Drosophila melanogaster: one gene and its partners. The gene in region 3 interacts genetically with the main gene of each other region. Each region holds a gene or a part of one and is shown on either strand. Other genes may lie near its edges. The genes, in order: eag, para and Hk.

What was found.
Region 1: of Hk (region 3) and eag, changing one enhances a phenotype caused by changing the other (phenotypic enhancement), as found in Drosophila melanogaster (one study listed by BioGRID).
Region 2: of Hk (region 3) and para, changing one suppresses a phenotype caused by changing the other (phenotypic suppression), as found in Drosophila melanogaster (one study listed by BioGRID).

Annotation. Positions count from the first base shown.
Region 1 is NC_004354.4:14,952,019-14,959,640, reverse strand, and holds the start of eag (ether a go-go), read right to left. Parts: upstream 4,165-7,622; 5' UTR 4,092-4,164; intron 3,777-4,091; 5' UTR 3,512-3,776; intron 1-3,511. Other genes in the region: CG9030 (uncharacterized protein), read left to right, coding at 4,645-4,857, 4,920-5,093, 5,195-5,440. UniProt on the Drosophila melanogaster protein: Structural component of a potassium channel. Mediates the potassium permeability of membranes; potassium current is regulated by CaMKII and CASK. Has a role in growth of the perineurial glial layer of the larval peripheral nerve.
Region 2 is NC_004354.4:16,522,653-16,530,186, forward strand, and holds the start of para (paralytic), read right to left. Parts: upstream 4,763-7,534; 5' UTR 4,625-4,762; intron 2,764-4,624; exon of another isoform or gene 2,570-2,763; coding exon of another isoform or gene 650-2,569; exon of another isoform or gene 315-649; intron 1-314. Other genes in the region: Cnx14D (calnexin 14D), read right to left, coding at 650-2,569. UniProt on the Drosophila melanogaster protein: Mediates the voltage-dependent sodium ion permeability of excitable membranes.
Region 3 is NC_004354.4:10,252,192-10,259,785, forward strand, and holds the start of Hk (hyperkinetic), read right to left. Parts: upstream 4,478-7,594; 5' UTR 3,985-4,477; coding exon 3,921-3,984; intron 3,400-3,920; coding exon 3,302-3,399; intron 2,982-3,301; coding exon 2,529-2,981; intron 2,117-2,528; coding exon 1,812-2,116; intron 1-1,811.

The DNA of each region.
Region 1 (7,622 bases), 4.7 Mb from region 3:
AATAAATAAATTTACATATTGCGCACGTGCTTTGGCCTCTTCCAGCTTCTATGGATTTGAATTCAGCTAGGGCTCTTGTACTACCTCAAAAATATATACGAAATAGTCCAAATGTACTCCCTAAAAGGTCACCAAATGCACTCAGAGCAGGTGTACTTTGAAAAATGGTTGGATTACATAGAGTACATTTACTATTGCATTAACCTTTGGATATGTAATCATACGATTTTTTAAATTTACTTAGAAAATGATCTGCTCTCAATAAGAGTTTATGCTTTAAATAAAAAATTATAAATAATTTTATACAGCTTTTCAAGAAGAACAAAAATACTTCGCTTTGCCATTTTCAGGCTATGTTTTTTCCTTGGAAGCTGGCTACGGATTTCGGTTCCAATTTTATGGCGACAGGACGGCGTGCCCATTTGCCCCAATGACTGCCAAACTGTGGCCACATTTTACATATGTAATTGTCTATCCACCCAAAGCCCCCAACCCCTGGGCACCTGCCAACTGCCTTGGCGGGATGGGGCCGGGGGTGCGTAGCACAGCACCGCTTTGATAGCCAGTGGAATGTTAATAAACTTGTTTTGATACGACAGACAGCCAAATCTCGGGCACAAGGTCAACGAGGACAAGGACGCGGGGAGCGAGTTTTCCGAGTCCTGCGAGCAGCTGCCAGCAAAGAAGCCGCAGCCAAAAGCCAAGCTAACCAGTCTGACAATCTGACAATCTGACAGGAAGTCAGCAGGTGGTCCAACTGGTCTGGCTTCACTGTACATATATATAAGCGATAAGTGCCGCACTGCCTGCGCAACGAAACCTCAGTAGAAAAATATGGCGGGACCTGCCACGAAGCTTCTGGATAAATATTAAGCCATGAGGCTTAACTTTATTTTTATACACTGTTCAATAAAAAACATAAATAATATCTAAAACTATATACAAGCAATTGGAATAGATGTAATTGGTGAAATATGATTTGCTTCGAAAAATAAATGAGCCAATCGAAGCAGCAAATCATTTATGAATTACCGCATTTCCGCTCAGTGTAGATAAGCGATAATGCAGTTAGTTGAAGAGCAGGGTGCGCAGGGGAAGTGCAGCAGCATCCGGAAACGGAAGCGACGGCAAGGCAACACGGATGCCAGCGGATGTCAAACATTAAACACTTGCGGAGGGTCAGGGAAAGAATAAAATATAAAAAGTGACGGGTGGCAGTTAGGCATTTAACATATTCTATGGAAATCCGCTGGCAAACCATTCAAATGCTCGTGCACAGTACGTAATGCTTTAAATTTGCAAATCTGTTTAAAGGCTTATTGGTGCCGCTTGATTGATTAGGCAGGATATTCCTAGGGCCTTTCCCTTCCACAACACTTACACTTCATTAACTTTTGGGTAATAAAAGTGGGAGCTAGGGAAAAGACACTGATAGAAATTGGAGATTCTAGATAATTTCGATATTTAACTGAATTGTATGAAAATTGTATGTAAATTAAATATTGATCATAATGAGTTTGCAAAATAAATCGCTTAGAATATATGTATATTTAATTTTATTCCGTTAAAGGCTGCATATTTTGCGTTCAGTGCACAAATAGGACTATATGTATGTGTGGCGAATCTAATTTACGATTTGTGCTATTAAATATGCGCAAAGTAAAATTGAAAATTACAAAGAACGTGAAAATGCGAAAACATGGGAAAATGGGAACAGTCGGCGCTAAAAGTCAACTGCCAAAAGTGTACAAAAGATTTATAAACAAGATATATACACATACACACTGGCCATATACATATGTGCGTGTGTGTGTGTGTGGGTATTGCTTCTTGTTCTTTTTATTTTATTTTATTTATTTTATGTTGACAGCAAATTGCGGCGCCCGTCAGCTTGGACTTTTCCTGTGCTATTCCCGTTATTCTTGTTATTTTTGTCATTTGTGTTGTTGTGGTTGCTGGTACATTTTTAATGTTTTGGCTCTTTTCATTTGGCCCACAAACACACACGCACGCTCAGGCACACACACACACACACACACTTGTAGCCACACATGCGTGACAAAATTGTTGGGCTCTTCTCGTGAATTTGGTTGTTCTTTTATTTTCTCCTGGCTGTGGGTTTTTCGCGTTTTCTTCGGCGGGCGGAAAACTTGCTCTCAAGATTTACTCGGCATTTCTGTGCTGGTGCCATTTGGCATTGTTTGCATACTTCCAGGCGCAAAAAGTGGGCCGACCCATTCAATTTTCCCCCTCTCCGTCTCGCTCTGTTTATCGCCCCCTCTCCTTTCGGCATCAAATGCTTTAAATATTTAAGTAGTTTCACCCGTTTCCTGTTGCTGTGACTCACAGTATGTGTGTGTCTGTGAGAGTATACATATGTAAGTGTGTGCGTTTGGGAGCGTTTGTAATGTTGCGCCTGTGTGGGTGTAAAGGGCATCAATATCAATCTTGTACGGATGTCAACTAACGCAGGCCACCCACATTTGCACTCTTTTTCACCTTTACATTGAAACTTTTATCACTTAAACATATACGAATCGAATATACCCTTTTGCTCTGCGAGCACCGGAAATACAATACAAATACTCCTTCAAATTCAGTTGGCAGCAAAGTTAAATTCGTATTGCATAGGCGCACTGCATATCTGAAATTCGTAAAAACTATATTTATAGCACACTTATTTGGTGTTCTGCTCAAGGACCGTTTTCTTTTTCTCACTGCAGCTAGATTAAGTTGCCACATGGGCATAAGTGCACTGATTAAATAATACAGACTTCATTTTCCCACAAAAATAAACGTATTTTGTTGTCTTTTGAACTTCTGAGCGCAATTACTGTCAAACTGTAAGCGTGTGTTGCGTTTGACACTTATGCAACCGCAAAGTGCGTTGTGTGTGCGTGTGTGTGAGTGCTTGTGTGTTGGTTGCACTTGAAAAACAAGCAATTGATGTAGTTGCTAAAACTTTTTTCGCTTTATTTGCTTGCTGACATAATTGCGCATTTCATTTTCTGTTGGCTGACACACATTCAATGACGGGGAGTAGGAAATAGCTGGAAAAACATCAAGAAATTAAGAAAACAATAAGGAACCAGCGCAAAACTGAATAAATAAATAATGAAAAAACGAAGCATGAATCGACGGAAAACCAAGAGCACGCAAATTTAACTTATTATGTTCCATTTTTCCACGACTCCGACTCCTGGCTCCCTGCTCATTTCAATTTTCTTTGCTTTTCCTTACATTTTCTTTCGGGCAAAACTTCGCCGTTCGCGCTGTCTCTTTTGCGCCGCCAGGAAAAAGTTTTAGCGCCGACAGCGACGCCGGCAGAACGACAAAAGACAACAATTACAATTAGAAGTGTGTTTATGCCGCCTTCTCGCTCACTCTTCCCCTTTCGCTAGCTTCCTTTTCTATATATTATTTCATTTTATTTTTTTCCCCATTTCTTTGCGGCAAGTAAAAGAAATTCAAGTTTATTACACAATATTTCGTCCTAGCCTTTTGTGATTACCTTTTGTTGCTTTTTGTTGTTTGTTTAGTTGCTTTTTGATTGCTTTTAAATGGTGGTTAAATATATATACATATATGTATATATATGTTTAATATATATATAAGTATGTTTATTTTTAGTGTTATTCCGCTGATTCCGATACTTTCTTTGATTCCGATTCTTCACTGGTTTTCGCTGGATTCTTCAATTCTTTTCAATTTTTCCTGCCTTCGCCGTATTTGCGATGTGATTATTCTGCAACGCGTTCTTCGCGTTTCACTTTGCACTGCAGTTGAGCAGCGTAGGTGAAGGTGGTGGTGGAGGAGGACAAGAAGAAGAAACAACAATTAACGGGACACGAAGAAGCACACAACAAACAAGAAAGAACATGAAACGAGAAACGCGTAGGATCAGCAGCGTGCAACAATTGCCGACTGCGACGCCTACTGCGACGTCGACACGTGCGCGGCGCCCCCACTTCCCCCTTCCATAAATCCCCTCTCGCCACACCACCACCCCCTCCCACCGTTTACACTGTTGTAATTTTCAAAATATTTCAGGCGAAAAAAAAATAAAAAAAAATCGTATTCGATTGGCGCACACAAAATGCTGGATTTATTTGCTGGATTTTCGAACTGGAGGACGAATCCCGGATTCTGAGGACCGCTCGACGCGAGAGTTGCGTCTTCATAGTTTTTCGCGACTACGCACCTAAAAGTCGACTACGAGTGAGTTGCGCGCTGCTAGAGCTGGGAAAACATCGATGTCGCTGCCGATTGTACCGTTACTTTCACATTGACAATCATCGATGGTGTGCAGCGTTCTACCCACCCGCTAGGTGGCGCTACTCACGTTAGTATCGATATATCAGCACGTATGGCAAAAACGGTTAAATGGCAAAGAAACACGATTCCTATCGATTTTCAAATAAATAAACTGGGCGAATTTAAAGAGCTCCATTCACTGGAAAAATGATATAGTCGTCAGAGAGAGTAGTTGGCCACGTTTTAATGATCTAATCTTTTCCATTTTTTATTCGTCACCCTTCAGTCAGTCAGTCAGTCCATTTCCCTTTGCACCAAAATTTTGTACTCATTTTTCAGGCATCTTTTGTGATTGAAAATTGATTTGTACAAACTTTAGCTGAGTTCGCCATGTATACCAAAAGGTGTCTCAGTGATGTGCTATGCTACATTGCGCACAGGTATATGGATATACCCTTACCCACCTGCAGAACATACTCCATCTGGAAGTTCCCGCCTAATTTCGATGCGAACAATCAGCGTGCAGGCAGATTGTTTTGGTTCTCCGAGCAGATATTCCCCCTCATGTTCTACTATGCTCTGGGCATTAGTATCATTGGATCGGTGCGTATATGCAAATTGCTTTATATTTCAGATGTGCATTTATTACACCTATCTCAACACAGACTCACAATTGTCTAGAATTCATAAGCATTTTGTTCAAGAAGGCGCATCTGAAGAAGTCGCATCGGCTAAGGAAGGTAAAGAATTTCAAATACAAGCAATTGCGCCGCTTTCGTATCATCGGATGCATTTTAATGTTAACGGCGTGGACAATACTGCTATACGCCTTGGCCACCGTGAGTACTAAAAATATCATATACAAAAAAAAAAAAAACGATATCTATTCAAAAACTTCTTTGAATTCCATTAATATATTGTAAACATTATTTGAATCCAGCTCAAGCCGCATTACATTGGTCCATGGTTTGTGATTTATGCCACCATTACATCCATCGATATATTATTGGTGCTGTCAGATGCCTTAGTGAACAGGACTATAGGCAACGGCTTCTTGTTCAAGACTTTGATCCCGGTTATCAACTTGTACTGTGTCCTTTCTGTGCGGTCGACTCTCAGGCAACTGATCGAATTTTACGGTTATCAGGATGTTGTTTGGTGGTCAATGGAAAGATATGCCCCATAAATTGTCAAAATAAGTGAAAATAATATTTAACTACATTTTACGTCGTACTGTATTTTTCTCATATTAACAAAATGTAATAAAAAAAATTAATTATTTAACAAAAACAGCGCCACCTGGATGTTGTGCCGAGTAATGGCAATTGACCAACAGGTAGCGCACATGTGCAACATTGTTATTAACGCTTCAATTGTTATAAAGCTTTTGGTTTTTAAGCTTTATGGATCACATTTTATCCTAAAGAACAACTTAGGCTTAGAGGAACTTAATAAATAGATCTGTTTTAAATAGGAATTGAAAGCTTCTTTTTGAGGTTAAAAAACCCATTTAATAATATGTAATGATTAATATTGGTACTAAACATGATTTTAGGAATCATGAAATATGACAAAATGTAATACTGTCACTTTCTATCTATCTATTAAATATTTGTTATAAAATAAAAATAAAAATATAGAATTAAAAAAAAAATGGCTAAATAACCATTACTGATGTCTAAACCCACCCCCGCAAGCAGCGTGTTCGCTCACCATCTACCTCTCTTTTCAAGAGAGCACGTTGCAAAGACGTTCAGACCCGCCACCTCCGCGCTCCACGGCACCCTTTTTTTAGGACAGAGCATCAAGTTGGTGGCAGTTCCCCAGCGAACACTGAGCACAACAGATTACCGAATTAGTGCGCAGGTGTTTGCGTGAGTGATAGACGAAAAACTGTAACCTGTGGCAAATCCCCCCACTAAAAACTGATAAAACAACTGAAAAGGCTGTTGGGTTCACCTCTGAAATCTAAATCCCACCCATAACCAAGCTCGAAAATAGCCAAGATAAACAAGTTGGAGCTGCAGCAAATGAAAAGAAAAACAGACGTATAATAATAAAACAAAAAAGCAACGAAAAACGAAGCCAAAAACTCACATGCAACCGTCTTAATGAAGTTGAGAAAAACTGGTTTGCTGAGATAAACATTTTGGAGTTTGTTTTGGTCCCGCTTTCAACGGTCATAAGGGGAAGGGGGCTGAGCCAGGGTCCAAAGTTCAACACAAAACAGCACCAAGAAAGTACGACGACTCGTTTGCGCGAAACGCACACATTTTGCATGCTCCCGCACAGGCTAGTTCGAACTTTTAGCATATCCAACATCTGTACGCAAAATATCATAAAATCTTCTCTTGGCATTACACAGAAATTACTTATTGATCGTTGGGCTTCTTTATAAGTCTCAAGAGAAAGTTGAGACAAACGAAGTCAGTATCTTTTATTATTTACATAAGTAGATCTTATCATTTAGTTTTTAAAATAACCTTTAAAGCCCCACGTAGTTCTTTACGCTTTATTTAAAAAAAAAAATGATCCGAAACGTTAACATTTCGAAGATCTCTATCATAGAAACATGATTTATATTTAAGACTGGTTATACCAAACTTAACAGATAATACATTAGTGATCCATTATAGCACGTTTACTAATTTAATTAGCCATTATACTTTCAATATTCACAATTAATAAGCCTGTGGTGCTATAATTGTGAGCTCAACTGTAGATGTGGGCGGGGGGCAGAGCAAGAGCGAGATATAGTGTGTGTGGTGCATTAAAAATGCTGTTTGAAATGTTATGCGAATAAAAAAAGCACATTACATGCGAGTGTACATAAGATAAGTTCGAAATGCAATCAACTATTGAATAACAAGTATCCCACATCTATATAATACCAAACTATATGCTATACTGTATAAAACTGGATATCAGGCCCACTGTAACTCTCTCCTTTTCATTTAATTTCTCTCAATGCAAATGCAACTGTAACGCGATCGATGTAAGAGAAAGAGAGCACTCATTTGCATAGAGCTCGCTTTGCAAGAGTGTTTGAGTGGTCGAGGGAGGAGAAAGGTAGAGGGCCTCTTTTTTGGCCTTGAGTTCCGCTTACGTTGCATACATGAGATATATGTATGTACATATATATTTATAAAAAACCGTGAATAGCATTGCCGTCTCACAAGTGTCCATTTCAAACGCAGAATTTTCCCCAGCTGGTGAAACGTGTGGCAACAGAGTGTTGAGTTTACCAAGAGGGTGAATGCACTGGTTAATGTTTAAGTTTTAGTTCCAGAAAGGAAGTGCAATGCTATTGAAAACATCAGGTTTAAATTACCCTTCAAGGTCATTTATTTCTGCACCAGATATTCCAC
Region 2 (7,534 bases), 6.3 Mb from region 3:
GGTTCTTTCTGGCAGTGGCCACCTCAGCACACCATCGTACATGGCGTTCCACAGCAGTTGCCCGAATACTGATCCTTGGGGCATATCGCACGTTACCCTATGCTCACGTGTTAAGTAAAGTAAAGTAACATCATTGGATCGCCAGAACCACGTTTTCCAGTGTACTGCGACTGCTTCTTGCAGTCGGAATCCCTGCGATTTCTTGAGTTGCTGCCAAGGATTCTCAGCAGCAGCCCAGAAAAGTATGCTACCACCAGCGAAAAGATCGCGGAAATTTGCTTGTTTTTCCGTCTTCAAACAATTTTCCCTTTCACACCCAATTCTTTTTTTTTAATCCGATTTTATTTGGATTTGGATGTGTTATGTGTATGTGTGTGTGTGTATGTGTGGGAGAGTGTGTGTGTGTGTGTGGGAGAGTGTGTGTGTGTGGGAGAGTGTGTGTGTGTGTTTGTGAAATAGTGTCTGTGTGTTTGTGGGATAGTGTGTGTGTGTGTGTAGTTTGATCGAGATGTCGGCTCTTTTGGCGAAATTAGAACATGTTTAAAATCTACGTTTGCTTGATCATTTGGTTGTTGGTGCTCTGCAACAGTTGGATCTTGGAATTCGATTTAGTTTCTTATTTAGAGTTGCAGTGACTACGGATGCCCGCTTACTCCTTGAGTGCTTTACGCTTCCTTTTTTTTGGGGTAGGTTCCTTGTTCTTTAATGTGTCTTCCTCATCTTCGTTATTATCTAAATAAGACTTTTGGTTCTTCTTGGGACTAGCGGACAGCGGTGTGCTTTCCTTGTTGGTATCACCAGCGGCCCTTTCGTCGGTCTTCTCCTCGTCATCCTTCTCCTCGTCATCCTCCTCCTCCTCGCAATCCTTCATCTCCTTCTCGTCATCCTTCTCCTCCTCCTTCTTTTCCTCCTTATTCTCCTCCTTCTCCTCCTCCTCCTCCTCCTCCTTCTTTTCCTCCTCCTTCTTCCCCTTCTCCAACTTTTCCTCCTCCTCGGCCCCCAGGTCATCATCGGGCTGAGGATCGTCGGTCTTCTTGGCCGCGGCAGCAGCAGCTTTTTTGGCAGCCGCAACCCTACTCGGGCCTAAACCAAATTTACAGAAGATGGTAATGGCAACCGGCACCGCAATGGCCACTATGACAATGCCCCAGATCGCTCGATTGGCCCTAGCTAGCTCGACTACCTTATTCCCGAATGATTCACGATCGATGTAGAGACGCTTGATGTCGAAGCTGTTGGCAGCAAAGTCACGGGCCAACTCCACATCGTCCGTGATGATCAGGTTATCGAAGAGAATATCGCTGGACATGGACCACAGCTCCAGACCCACAGCGTTGATTGGCGTCATTTGGAAGGGCTTCAGATCCTCAAAGAAGTCTGGATTGGCTATCTTCCTGGGAGCCCACTTGCCCTGGTTGTTGGGGTTCTCGATCATTGGTGCACTCCACTTGCCCTTGTAGTTGGGATTGGGGATGAGCGGAGCCTTCCACTTGCCACAGCCGGGGGCCTTCTTGCACACTGGGTTCTCCACCAGAGGAGCCTCCCACTCGCCATCGATTTCGGAATTCCAATCTTCGGGTTCGATGGCAGTTGGATCGAAAATCATGTCGGGCTCATCCTCTAGCCAGCCATTTGGCATGACGGCATCGGTATCGGGCAGATGTGGTGGAGCATCCTCGTCCCAATCCTCGGGCTTGTGGGCATTGGGGTCTGGGATCTTCTTCCGCTCATCCCACGATTCTGGCTTGTGGTCATTGGGGTCATCTATCTCCGCCGGTGGGTTGACTGGTGGCACAAAGTCGGTCAGCAGGGAACCCTCTTTGATGATCTTGTGGTCTAAGCGAATCTCAAAGCTGTTATCGGGACGGACCACCAGCTGGTAGAGATGGGGTAGCTTGTCCGTGAATGGCACTCCCAAACGGGCATTTGGCTTTTTGCAGTGCTTTTCGGTGATGTTGCCATTTAATGGATTGACGTGCCGGAATATAAAGTGCATTTTCAAATTGTTGCCGCACTTGTCCGGACCAAACATGATGGTATAGGGTGTCTTGTCATTGAAGCGATTTAGTTGCTCCGTGCCTTTTCCGGCGGACAAAAGCTTCAGATACGAGCCGCCACAGTCCTGACCCTCCTGCAACGTAAGCTCGTACTGCACCACCAGCGGCTTGTTCGACTTGAAATCGAACGGCTGGCGAAAGGGGGCGGCTATGGCCGCATGCTTGGCCTTCGACTTGAGCACCAGACCCAGATCGTTTGCCCAAAAGATGCGTTGCGGAGACTCCCAGTTCCAGATGCCATCGTATTTGGCTATCTCATCGGCGATGTCGTTCTTCTTGGCCTGCGACAGTACCCATCTCTTTCGGGATGCCTCCACGTCGTCGAAGTGATCCGCAAAGTAAAACTTTTCGGCATCGATCACCGGACTCTTGTAGGCAAACTTCTCATCGCCATAGATGGCGCCGGGCTCTATCTGCACATCCTCCACAGAGTTTTCCGACTCCGGGGCCAAATAGCCGGTTTTGGCCGCACTCAGCAGCAACAAAATGGCGAAGAGCATTTTCCAAGCCATTTTCACACACTTTTCGCTTGCTCGCTTACTCAGAGTTGGAATAGATAAGGATTGACTGAATTGAGCCTTGCGTTTTTTTAATATAGCGACGTTCGAAGAAATTAACGATTTTTAACGATTTTTTGTGAAAAGTGGTTGACTTGACTGAACTGAGCCTTAATGCGTATGACTTTATTGACGCCGCTTGCTTGTTTGTATAAATTTTGGATTTGACTTACATAGATAGCTTAGTAATAGGTAATACGATTATGATTTTTAAAATGTAGATAATATTATAAGCACTTCATTTATTTGAAACGGTCTAACACTACCTTCTACCGCTACTACAGAAAATGTGAGAATTGAATCTAGATTCGGTTACGGATGTTCCTGCGGTCTTCGGATATTGGGCTTACATAAGCAGCCTCCGCTAAGGTCAAAGCACTCTTTTTCCATTTGCCAATCTGGCTGCGTGTGTGTATGTGTGAGCGCGCCAGTGTGTGTGCGTGTGTGTGTGTGTGTGTGTATCGAGCATAAAAGTAGGTCAGTTCGATATTTCGCCACACTCACACACACACGGAGGCATGAAGCATAGGGTAGCGTTCTCACACACACACAGAGTGGCAGTGGATGTGCCAATATGAGCATATATTTATGTGTGTCTGTTTCCATTCATGACACTCGCAAAATTCTGTTTGCCGAATTAATTTTTGGCCATTCGCTGGGTCGATGAGTCATGCGAAAAACCGCAAACAAGAATTGAAATAAAAAACAACCCGAGCCGGAATTTGTGTCAATATGCAAATGACACATGACAAACACATGAGCGAAACGCAAAACGTTTTCCTTAGCCAACCCAAGGTATCGATTTGGCAATATAACACAGAATATCTGCTACCCTATTAATTGTTGAACAAAATTCGATGGCAAGGAAAGGACTAAAAAACTAAAAAAAAAAACAAACAGAAACAGCAAAAAACTGAACGAAGTTAGCATGTTGTTAGTCAATGAATTTTGCATGGGAGAGCGCAATGGGCTGGCGAGAGAGCGAGGACTCTCACTCTCCTCCTGCCTGCGCCGAGAGAGCCAGTGCCCTCTCTCTTGCGCTCTCACTTCTCTGTGTGATGCCGCCAACAAACACGGACTACAACAATACATTTTTGGGTTCCCTTCTCTCTTAACGAACCTCCTTTCAATGTGTGCGTGAGCAAAGGAATTCCGTTAGAAACACCCCCCCCCCTCAACCTTCATCATTCATTTTTTTCTGCTCTGCTCTGCTCTGTTCTTTTTTTTTTTTTGTGGCAGCTGAAAGTTTGCCCTCCAAAAGCCAGCAAAAGGTTGTAGCCCAAAAGCAAAGGGGCGTGCCAGTGGGCGGGACAAAAAGGGGCGCAGATACCCCATTGATATGGTCTTGAGGTCGGGCCTGGTTAACTGGGATTTTCACCAAGGAGGCATGACATAATCGAGCCAAGTTCATCAAGTCGCCCACTGCTCCGTTCACACTTTTCTAGCTATTCAAATATTGAAATACATACGAAAGACACAATTGCTTTCTAAATTCTCATTTGACGTGCAGCGTAAATTGCCCTTTTTGGTATTCTATATTAAAATTGCAATCGATGGGAATACCAAATGTGGGTTTCTTAAAAACTTTCAATGAAAGTTGAACCATTGACCCAGTAAAATGTAGTTCTCTTTGACCAAAATGAAAAGTAAATTAATGACTTTGTTTTGAGCTGAGAAGTAAGTTAAGTAAGAGCTGAGAATTTCTAATATAACACATTGTTAGCCTGTTTGCTCTAACATAGATAACATAATTATTTTCAATACATTTCCACTATGTGTTAATTGTAAGAATTCATCATAAAAGTGGTTCTTTTAGACTCGAAAGATCGTTTAGTCTTAAGAATAAATCATTCAAGGTATCGGAAATAGTTGAAACTCAACAAATAAAAAATTTCACGATTTTTTTTCCTCTGTTTAGGGTTAAATATCATTAGCATAATTAAAAGTGCAATGAATGTGATAATAAAATACATATTAAATGGATTTTTTCGATTGCCTTCGATTACCTACCGTTAATCGATGTCTATCGATGTTGTGCCTGGCTGCTCGCTCTATCCGCTGATGTTGTTGTTGCTGTAGTTGCTATTGTGGTTGTTGTTGCTGTTGCTGCTTTTGTTGTGAGCGTGCTTGCTTGTATTGTTGTTGTTGCTGCTGCTGCTAAGAATTGTTGCTGCTGTTAACTACTGTTGTTGTTGTTGTGGTTGTGGCTCTGGCTGCTGCTGCTGTTGTTGTAGTTGTTGTTGTTGTGGCTCACACATTTACAGGCACCAACACACACGCGACGCACTCACACACATATGCATACATATACATAGATATATATATATATAAATATATATATATGTATATTTTATATATATATATATATTACGGAGACGAAGACGAATAAAGTTGAAGCGGTAGAACAAGTAGAAGATGAATTTGTTGTTTGTTTTGTTTTTTGGTTTTTTTGTTTGGTTTTTTTTTTATATTTGTATTTTTGTTTGCTTTTATTTGTTTTGGTTTTGTTTGTTAAATCTGCATTATCATTGGGTATTTGAATTGGTTTTTTTATTTAATTTTTTTGCGTGCTTAACAACAACCAAGACGTGTTGCCAGAAATTTTCATCAAACGTTGCGTTTTGTTCCCAGAGCTGTTTCAATTTATTATTTATAGTTAATGTTAATATTATTTGTTGTATTATTTCTACTAGTATCTGGCTACCTGGCTGGGATATTTAAATGAGTTTGCCTCGGCTTGGTTTCTCAACTGTTGCTATGATTATAATTGGTTTTCCGTATTATGACTAATAGTATTATTATTATTATTTGCAGATTTTATTTCGGTTTTAGTTTCAATTTCGTCAGCGTCGCCTGCGGAAAAGCGAACAAGTTGTTGAAACCCAGCTTAAATTGGAAAATTTGATGGGAAAACTCATTCACAAAAGGTGACAGAAATGTAAAAAAAATTGAAAAAAATATTATCGGAAGAAAAAATTTCGAATAATTTGTATGGCCCACTAAAAGCACCCCCTAGTATTGTTTGAATGGCTTGAAATTATTTTTTTTAATATTTATTTCTTTTTATATGTTAGATTTTCTGCTGTCCTTGTGCCAATTATGTGAATTATGTCGTTAGTTTATTTGATTCCTTCTACTAAACTTGTTATATTTCTTCAATAGATATTTAAAATGGGCTTGTAAATTGTATTCACACACTTGATGGCTTTCACTTAGACACACGAAAAAAAAAACGTAAAATGAGCACTCAATTGGCAGGATAATGTCTCACTGGATTGGATGCACTGTAAAAAAAAATGTCGAGGCAGCGAGTCGCGGCTTGTTTGTGTTTATGCAATTTTCGCGCGCACGTGAAACGCAGAGCAGTATTGAAAAAGGACACAAGGATGCGGAAAAAAGTCGAGCACTGAGCACTGAAAAAGTTCCTCCTCTCTGGGTAACTCCGTTTTCGGGCGAACCAGGCAGTTGTCCGCCGTTTCGCCGTGACTTCCTTTTATCCGAATTTGCCGCGAAAAGGAGCAGAAGCAGTTCGCGCGTGTGTGTGTTTGTGTGTGTGTGAGAAGTCCTTTTCGCCCTAAAGCATTTGCCATATATAACCACCCAAGTCGTTGTCAACACAGGTTTTGTTGTGCTACTTTGCCACCCTGTTTTTCGCTGCTTATCCTTTCGCCCTTCGCTATTCTCCGCCATTTGCCACATACTATTCGCCATCGCCGACTCTCATTTTTTTATTTGTCTTTGGTCACTTGTTCTATTTTTAGGTCATCAAGCTGATATTCCACGGCTCTGCTCTGCCCGAAAATTGCAACAGTGGGTCATTATTTTTGGGCGTTTGGCACCAGTTGGACTGGTCAAGTCAAGTCCGACTGCGTTCATAACTAATGTGGCCCGAGAATATGGAGCATCAGCTATAATCGCAAATCATGCTGACCCGCTTTTCGGGGCCCCCCATCTTGGACACCGACCAATCGATCCTATCCGAACTTTATCTAACCCAGCGGTGGCGGGGTCACCAAGTCACCAAGTCACCAGTCAGCCCACCCATTTGCACACATTAAGGAACTGCGTTCCTAATGTCCTTACAAATGGACAAGTACATACATATGTATAAACAAATTGAAAACAATGGAGTTTAACTGTGTGTGTGTGTGTGTGTGTCTTAACTGGATTGGGGTCACCAAAGCGCGCAGCTTTTGTGGGAGTTTGAGTAATAATGCTTTTAAATCAGGAAACTGTTTTCGAAGCGTTTAAGCTTGCTATAAATTTAACCTAATTGACTTCATTCTTAAGTGTGTAATACTATAAGTTTGGACTTATCATTTCCTGGCACTCAATAGTTGTACTCAATAGCGTACTTAGAAACCTTTAAATTGCCAATTTCTCTTTGGGACTAATGTTTATTTATCACAGTTTCATCCATAATGGGAGCCAATGATTTGGAATTCGTTTGGATCATGAACCTTGGCCTTGCTCCTAATTGAATTCGCAGTGAGGATCTTCGCGTAACATAAGACATTTGTCGCAGGTCGCATATGGATGGCAATATTACCGAGAGCACAATCTCCTTATTGGATTGCGTCCTGATTGCAAGCCCTTGGGATTCGCACAATGGAAGCCAAAGGCCAGAGCCTTGCACACATGCTATTCGACTTGCGTTTGCTGCTCGATGGCTGCTAGCTTGGTCTTTTGACCATTTGCACGTCACGTATTTAATAATTTATTTATGCATCAATTTGGGTTATGTAAATTTTTTACACCAAAAGCCAACAACAGGCAAAGGGCGAGCAAAGAACAACAATGGGGCTGGAAGCCAATTGAACACGCACAACCCAGGGGCAGATTGAACTGCGACTGCCATTTGGTGACTGGTGGTGCTCCGGCTGGGCTTCCGTCCCTCTCCATGGGATGCAATGGTATGGG
Region 3 (7,594 bases):
TGGATATAAGTGTTTAAATACACAGCCGCGCCGCGTTATGTGGGCCATATAAAATATGAATCTAACTGCATGGGAATATTAAATTACACTTTGCGCTCGGCAAGCAAAATTAATTCACAGAAGCCCGTAGCAATTAAAAGGCACTTACTCACGGCAATTGATTGCGTTTCGGATTTCGTTTTTGCACATAAATGTTGGATGATGTTACGGTTAGATGCCTCAATTTCGATCCGATTGCCGGAACAGCGGACTGCAGACTGCAGGCTGTGCCAAATCAAATATAATAAAACCCCGGTTCTCCCGGCTACAAACGGTCGGAAATGCACCTGTGCGCTGATGGGGTTTACCTGGCAGGTCGATTAATGACTTGGCCTTAATGAAAAATTAACCATTTTAATTTGAGGCCAACGCAGAAGCATGTTATTTGCTAATTTTCCCATCAAGCTTAAGGCGCGCAAAGTGCTCGCATAGTAATTACGTTAGAATAGAAACCGCGGCGTTTAAATCAAGTTACTGTAGAATTTCCATTAAAAATTAACCTGGATTGATTTCTTAATTAACCTGGAATGATTTCTTTTACGCTTTAACCTTTCATTTGTTTTCAACATATAACTAAATAGAAATATTGTATAGCATTCTGAATTTCTTGCTGGAATTGCAAACACAGATTTCATTTGAAATGCATTTATTTTGCGATGCACCTAGCCCACTGCACGTGGGCGCCATCTGTGGCATGCAAATGCAACTGCCTGCTGTATTACATGGCGTATACTTGATATGCCTCGCTTTTTACATGCCACTTACACGGATTCTACATGCAACTTTCGTAGCATACTTTTCAGGGTTAAGTGCACTACTCAGATTTGTTTCGAACTTTTCGCAAAAAGTTTCATTGAATGCCCTTTTGTTGTTATTTAATTGTATGAGTCATAAAAACAATTGTGCCACGAAAATCACTCATTTCACTTGGACGAGGTAAAAGCTTCTGGAAGAAGTCCAAGAAGAAAATAAAAAAAAACAAGGTGGCCTGACTTAATGCCGCGAAACGCAGTTCAAACAATGTAAGGAAAATGCAAATAATCCGATTCTGTATAATTGCACACTTTTGCCGAGAACACTTAATAAGATGCGACAGCGGATACATTTACATTTTCTGGGAAAACAGTTCGTGTTCATTTAAGTTACTTCTTTAATATGGCAATTTGTAGATACTTTTTATATCCTCTGCTAAAATTGTTACTCATTAAATACCTAAGCAAATGTATGCAAATATATATTAAGCAAAAGTGTTATTTTTTAATAAGTAAATCACTTTTCATCGAGTTCGTAGCTAGAGTCATGATTTTTCATTCTTCAGCACACACAATAAAATCGAACCATAAAATCGGTTTAATAGAGTGATACCCTTATCGCCTTATTTACTGCCTTTCCACGCTGACAATCCCGTCAATGAACCATATTCAGTTAAATTTCATAGGAATGGGGACATTTTACACGATGATGATCAAATTTAATACGCTCTTTTATTACATTACACTTTGTATGTGATGCTCGTCTGGCATTCATTGATTTTGGAGTGCGAAATCAGGCCACACAAGAATTTTGCTAGAACAAAGGACTTCAAAGTTGGACAATGGCTGCTTCGGACAATTTTTGACTTTTGCACAGCAGGGCAAGGGATTTTTGCTTTGTCGGTTTTGCCAACATAATAAAACTTGTTGGTGTAGTGTACAATTTAGTTGGCTTTTATATCAAACTTATATATATATATAATACATATATTTTGCGGCTAGTTGTTAGATTGTACTCACATGATGCGGTGGTAGGCATCGAGCTGGTTGTGCGCACAGGTCACGGACTGCTCAGATTCGGTGGAATCATCGCGCAGCGTTGCAACGCCGAGCGGCAGAATCGGTATGATCGCAGCTGTGGCAGCTGCGGCCGTTGCCGGCGGCCCCGCCAATGTCGCCGATTGTCCCGCTCCCGCTCCTGCTACTGCAACCGCTATCGCTGTCCCGCTTCCAGGTACCGCTGCTGACGCTCCTCTGCCCGCCCCGACTGCGCTGCCAGGGAAGGTCTGCTGTGTGGAGGATGATGATGTCGTACTATCGAGCTCCTGTTCAAAGTGAGTTCCCAAAGAAAGTATATTTAGCTAAGCGGCTCATCATTGAAAAGGTGGACAAAAGCGGTGTATCAAAGGATCTAAAATAGAGGGGTTCCTTGAGTTTCTTAAGCTACAAAGAAAACTATAACGTTTATTTAAAGAGTAAAGTGATCACCCAACCAATCATAAATGAAGATAGCTTATCAAAAACATTTATAAATTAATTCAATTGAACTAAATCTATAAAATAAATGAAATTCATGCCAATAGCAAAAGTTTGAAGGCTTTAACGGGCTCTTTTGTCCACCTTCCGGTCATGGAAAAGTTGCAGCTGGCAGGTGCGAAATGAAATGGATGGGTGGGCGTGGGTTCTAAAAAGGGGTTAAGGCAGTGGGGGTTTTAGTGGTGGTTAGTGATGAAAAACCTTGATCTCGCCGGTTTCCGGCTGCGAGAATCGCTTCCGCTCGTAAAGAATCTCCCGCTCGATGGAGCGACTCCGGAAGGCGGGGGGCAGCGATCGATCGGGGGGAGGTGTCTGCAACTTTGGGGTCACTGGTGTGTTGCTGCTGCCGCTGCCCGTTGACTGTTGTTGCTGCTGCTGTTGCTGCTGCTGCAGATGCTGTTGCTGCAGATGCAAATGCTGCCGCTGCTGTTGCTGCTGCGAATGCGAATGTGTCTGGTGGGCGGCGGCTGCGGTGGACGAGGTGGGCGGACTTTTCTCGCTGGACTGCTGCTGATCGCGATGCTGCTGCTGCAGATGCTCGCGGTGCTGCTGCAGTTGTTGCTGCTGCTGGCGCTGCTGCTGCTGCTCGTCCCGCTTCTGCTGGCGGCGTATCTCAAAGTCCAGCAGACGGGCCTCGCGTTGCTCCTTGTCGCGCTGTTTGCATGCAATTGTCGCAAAGTGCATTCTTACTATCAGGTTTAATGGATTATCGCATGGCCATCGTTATTATTGCTGTTGCATTTTCAATTACTGCTTCATTTGGATTTGCTTTCTTTTCTTATCTATACTTTTTTTTATAATTTTTCTTGGTACTCTTTTCTTTTTCTTTTTTTCTTTTGAGGGATTACATTGGCTTTATCAAATTGTTAATTTGTTTGCACGCGCGGTAGACACACACACGCACACCGAATTGGCCGCGACAGAAAGAGATAGGGAGAAGGCAGACAGAGAGAGGCACACACACACACACTCACCTTGTAGTTGATAGCGTCCTGCTCTTCCTTTTTCGCCTCGCGCTCGTTTCGCTGTCGATCGCGTTGCTTCTCTTCGTCGGTCTGCGAGTTCTTGCTGTCTATATAATTTAAGGAAAGTATTAAAAAATGATTAACAAATAAGGGAAATAATAGTAAATCAATCAAAAAAAATTCAAGTTAAATGGATCAACGTTAAAGAACATATCAAAATATATTTAAATCAAAGGATAGATTAAAACATGACAGAGAAAATGTAGAAACATAAATGTTAGAAATATATGAAAAACATAGAAATAATCCAAGAAATCCATAAGAATAGAAAGAGAGAGAGAGAGAGAGAGAGACGGGGGAGAAAAAGAGGCCATGTTCAAACTGTTTCAATCGATTCTCATTATTGTATTTCAATTTGCAATTATTTTACTGTCATCCTCTACTCAAGCACTAAGCATGCAAGTTGAAAAGTTCTAAATGGTCGGATAAAACAACTTGCAGCATGCACATCTACAGCTCGCACTCTTATACACACGCACACACACGCTCTCAACTACAAATATATGTCTTTATATATAAATATATATATATATATATACACAGTTCAAGGCCACGCCCCCCTACTTACGCTGCTCCCCATCGCGCCCACCACGCACTGCCATCAAATAGCGACTCAGCCGAGGCGGTGTCATACTAATTCGCACCTTTCGACAGGTGAAAAGCCCACACGGAATCAACAGTCGTCAGTTGCGGCCGAAGAGCCAGGCGAAACTGACACTGAGCACCAACATGCGGCCCACTAAAAACATAAAGCTAAACACTGAACCCAAAACACTAAACACAACCAAAGTTGACCGCGGCCCAATTAGTGTCATCTTCTCGGGAGGATTAATGCCCAGCTGCGAGTGTTCGCGGCAACCAGACAGATATGCATTTTGCGGTAGTGTGACCAAGTCACGCACGTAATTTGGAATTGCGGTGGGCACACTGATTGCATTAAAGTTAATTCACAGTCAATATCAATTTCAATATCTACACATCAACACGATTGCCATTTGTTTGCATTTTTGTATTTCTCACGTTCGTTAATTATTTGACTTATTTAAATTGGTGTTTTTTTCCTCTTTTTATTATTTTTTCGGAGCATTCCCACTTTGAGGAGCGGCCTCTACTCGACTAACACTCAACATTTGGTTTGCTGCCGTCGTTTTGCTTGCCTCGTACATTTATGCTTCCCATGAATATTTGAGCTTTGAGCTTTGGCCTTGGCTTCAACCGATTCAACCCACCACAAGAGCACAAGAGTTCACCAAGTGCGTCACAAGCGGTGAGTAAACACTTATTTGAGTCACTGTGTTGTGGTGGATTAAAATTGATCATAGGAAAGTTGTAATTGCAAGCGAATTTTTTAAGTTATATTTAAAGCCATTTTTCACTTATTATTTTTCACTTATTTACCTGTGTGTGTATAAAACATCATTTTCTATGCAAAACGAAGAAAACCGGTTTACTTTCCATAGCATATGTATATACTTTTTAGCCCCAAGCCTTGGCAAATACTCAAATTGCCGTTACACAGTTTACTCATTTTATATTCTAGTTATCTGTTTAACCTTTTCGCAAGCTTCAAGCGTATGCAATTATCTTGTTCTACCCTTTTGATGACTTCAAAGAGGCCCGAGTGCCGCTAGTTGAGCGCCACAAGCTTACACCTGGCCCACCTTTGACCCCGTTCCATTCACAAACTACTTGCACACATACACACAGACGCATCAGGGTCTTCATTTTGTAGTATCATCATCGTAGTGTCATTATTATTATCATCATCAAAGCTCTACGAAAAATGCGAAAACAAAAACTAACCGAAAAATGTAAGACAACTAAGGGGAAACAAGGAACGTGGAACGAAACGAACTACACGTAACGTAACGGAACAACCAACGGAACGGAACAGCGGAATAACGGAACTCGCTATGTAGAGGGGGGGGGGGGGGGGGGCTTATTGTAGTTGGTTTCATTTGGTCTATGGGGTTTCTAATGGGAATCTGTTTGTGGCCTAATGGTTTCTATTTCCATTAAGCCAACACTACGAGACCAGAGAGAGACAAAGACAGAGAGAGAGAGAGAGAGAGACGGAGAGAGGCGGGTTGTGTGAGACAGAAAGAGAAAGAAATTCTTCCTTACCTCAATGTGTTTTTTTTCTGATGTTGTACTTGTGGTGATGATGTTGTTCTTGTTGTGTCGAATTTGATTTTGATTATATTTTAGTAACGATTCTTGTCGAATTTGGCAATTGATTACACGCGATCGCGACGCGTACCGAAACGATTGGAATGGTATTAGTACCGTTAGGTGAGTGCGGTGTGTCTGAGTGTGTCTTTTAAGAAAGAGATAGACATATAGGCAGATAGAAAGAGAGGAGAGACTGAAAGGGAGAGATCTCCGTTTTCGATTTAATTCTGTATTTTCTTATTTTTGTATTCTTTCGCTTGTAATTCGTATTTGTTAGACGTGATTCCTTAGTTTTATGATTCCTTTTTTTATTGTGTGTTGAACATAGAAGACAATACAATCAAAGAAGAGCAAAGAAAAGAAGTACAACAAATAAATCTTCAATTATTTCGTACTTAAATCGGAACTAAATCTTATGTTTATTGATTGGGGAGAGCCAATAGACATTGTTTTTTAGTATTTTAATACAATAAAAGAATTTTGGCTAGCCCCAAAATAAAATCTATTTGTATGGACTATCGAATGATAGAAAACCAAGGAAAATAAGGGATTATTATCCTCGAATTTATCCTTTAAGCCGGATTACCTCTCTCTTTGGCTCTGGTTTTCTGGGCCTTGACTACAGTTACGCTATATTATAATATATTTGGTATGTGGCAAAATATATGGTTATACCCATGTAACATTAAGAAAAGAAGGAATTGGTTATCATCGACTATATATGTAAAGAGAGATATACTTTATGTGGCTTTCACATCTAAGAGGAGTCACTTAACAAACGTACCACATACAGACATACGTACAGACAAGATACATATATATGTTAAATACAGATAGATATACAGAGAGAGGACTCACAGGATGGCCTAGTCATACAAAAAAGAAGTGGAACCAAAGAACAAACGATAATCGCACTCCCTATAGACTATACACGGGCTATATATGAATGTATTATCATCGCTTTCGGTTATATCGATCAATTAGATTACATAGACATCGAGGGACGAACAACACAAACGAAGTGGGAATCGGTTTTGTTTGTTTTTTCTTTTTTTTTCGTTTTTTTTGGGGGTGGGGTGGTGGTTAGGGATGGGAAGTATTACGAATAGTAATAGTGGAGGGTCCAAGGTGCTGCCCCGCATGCGCAACCCGTAAGACTCACTTGAGGAACCGCCGCCAGCGCCCGGTGGCGGGTAGGAGAACCAAAATTGATGGGCCAGTTTGGAGTGGGGCCCAACCGAGGGGCTGTCTGGAAAGAGGACGTGGTATAGGTTAGTCAGGGTCCCATATGCAGGGCTCAATGGGGGAGGATCAAACGGATTTGGCACCAATAAAGGTGTTTAAAAGTATGCAATATCTTTAGACCTTTGTTAAAGTCTGCTATCTCTTTAATCATTTCTTTTGAAAAGTTCAAATCTCCGTGATCCTCCATAACCGAAACCTATCGCAATCCGATTCCACGGTGGAATACTCACCGATAAACAAGTCCTGTTGCTTGCGCTTGTGTGCGTGAGCCTGTGGAAGGACCTCAGTGGTTTTTCAGTTGTCCAGTTATCCAGTTGAACTGTTTTTCCAGTCTATGACCAGGCACGTGCGTTGAATTGAGTGAGGCTGGGTCCGACTGGGGATGGATGGTTCCAATGGTACTGCCAGATGGCCAGATATCCAGTTAGCCAAATAGAGAAGCGCCTAGGGCGTGTCAGTGGTTCATTTCGGCGCTTGGGGAATTTACCGAGCAACACGGCGATGGTCACCCGCTGGCCCAATGGTTTACTAATGGGAGCCGGAAAAAACACACAACAAACAAATTAGAGTCGTACGCAAATTGGGGCCATCAACTTACTGACTTGTAGTCAACCATGTGGCAAGTAATCAACCTAACCTACGCATACACACACACTTACACACACACATAGTCGCATACACTGTGAATAATAAAGTGCAGCTAGTACGTAATTAACATGTTCCACTGTTGAATTGTCATAGAAAAGAAAATAAATACTGCTACTAGCAGATCAACATGGAAAGCCAAAGAAACTTTCTGATAGGTATAATAAAAAAGGCACTTTA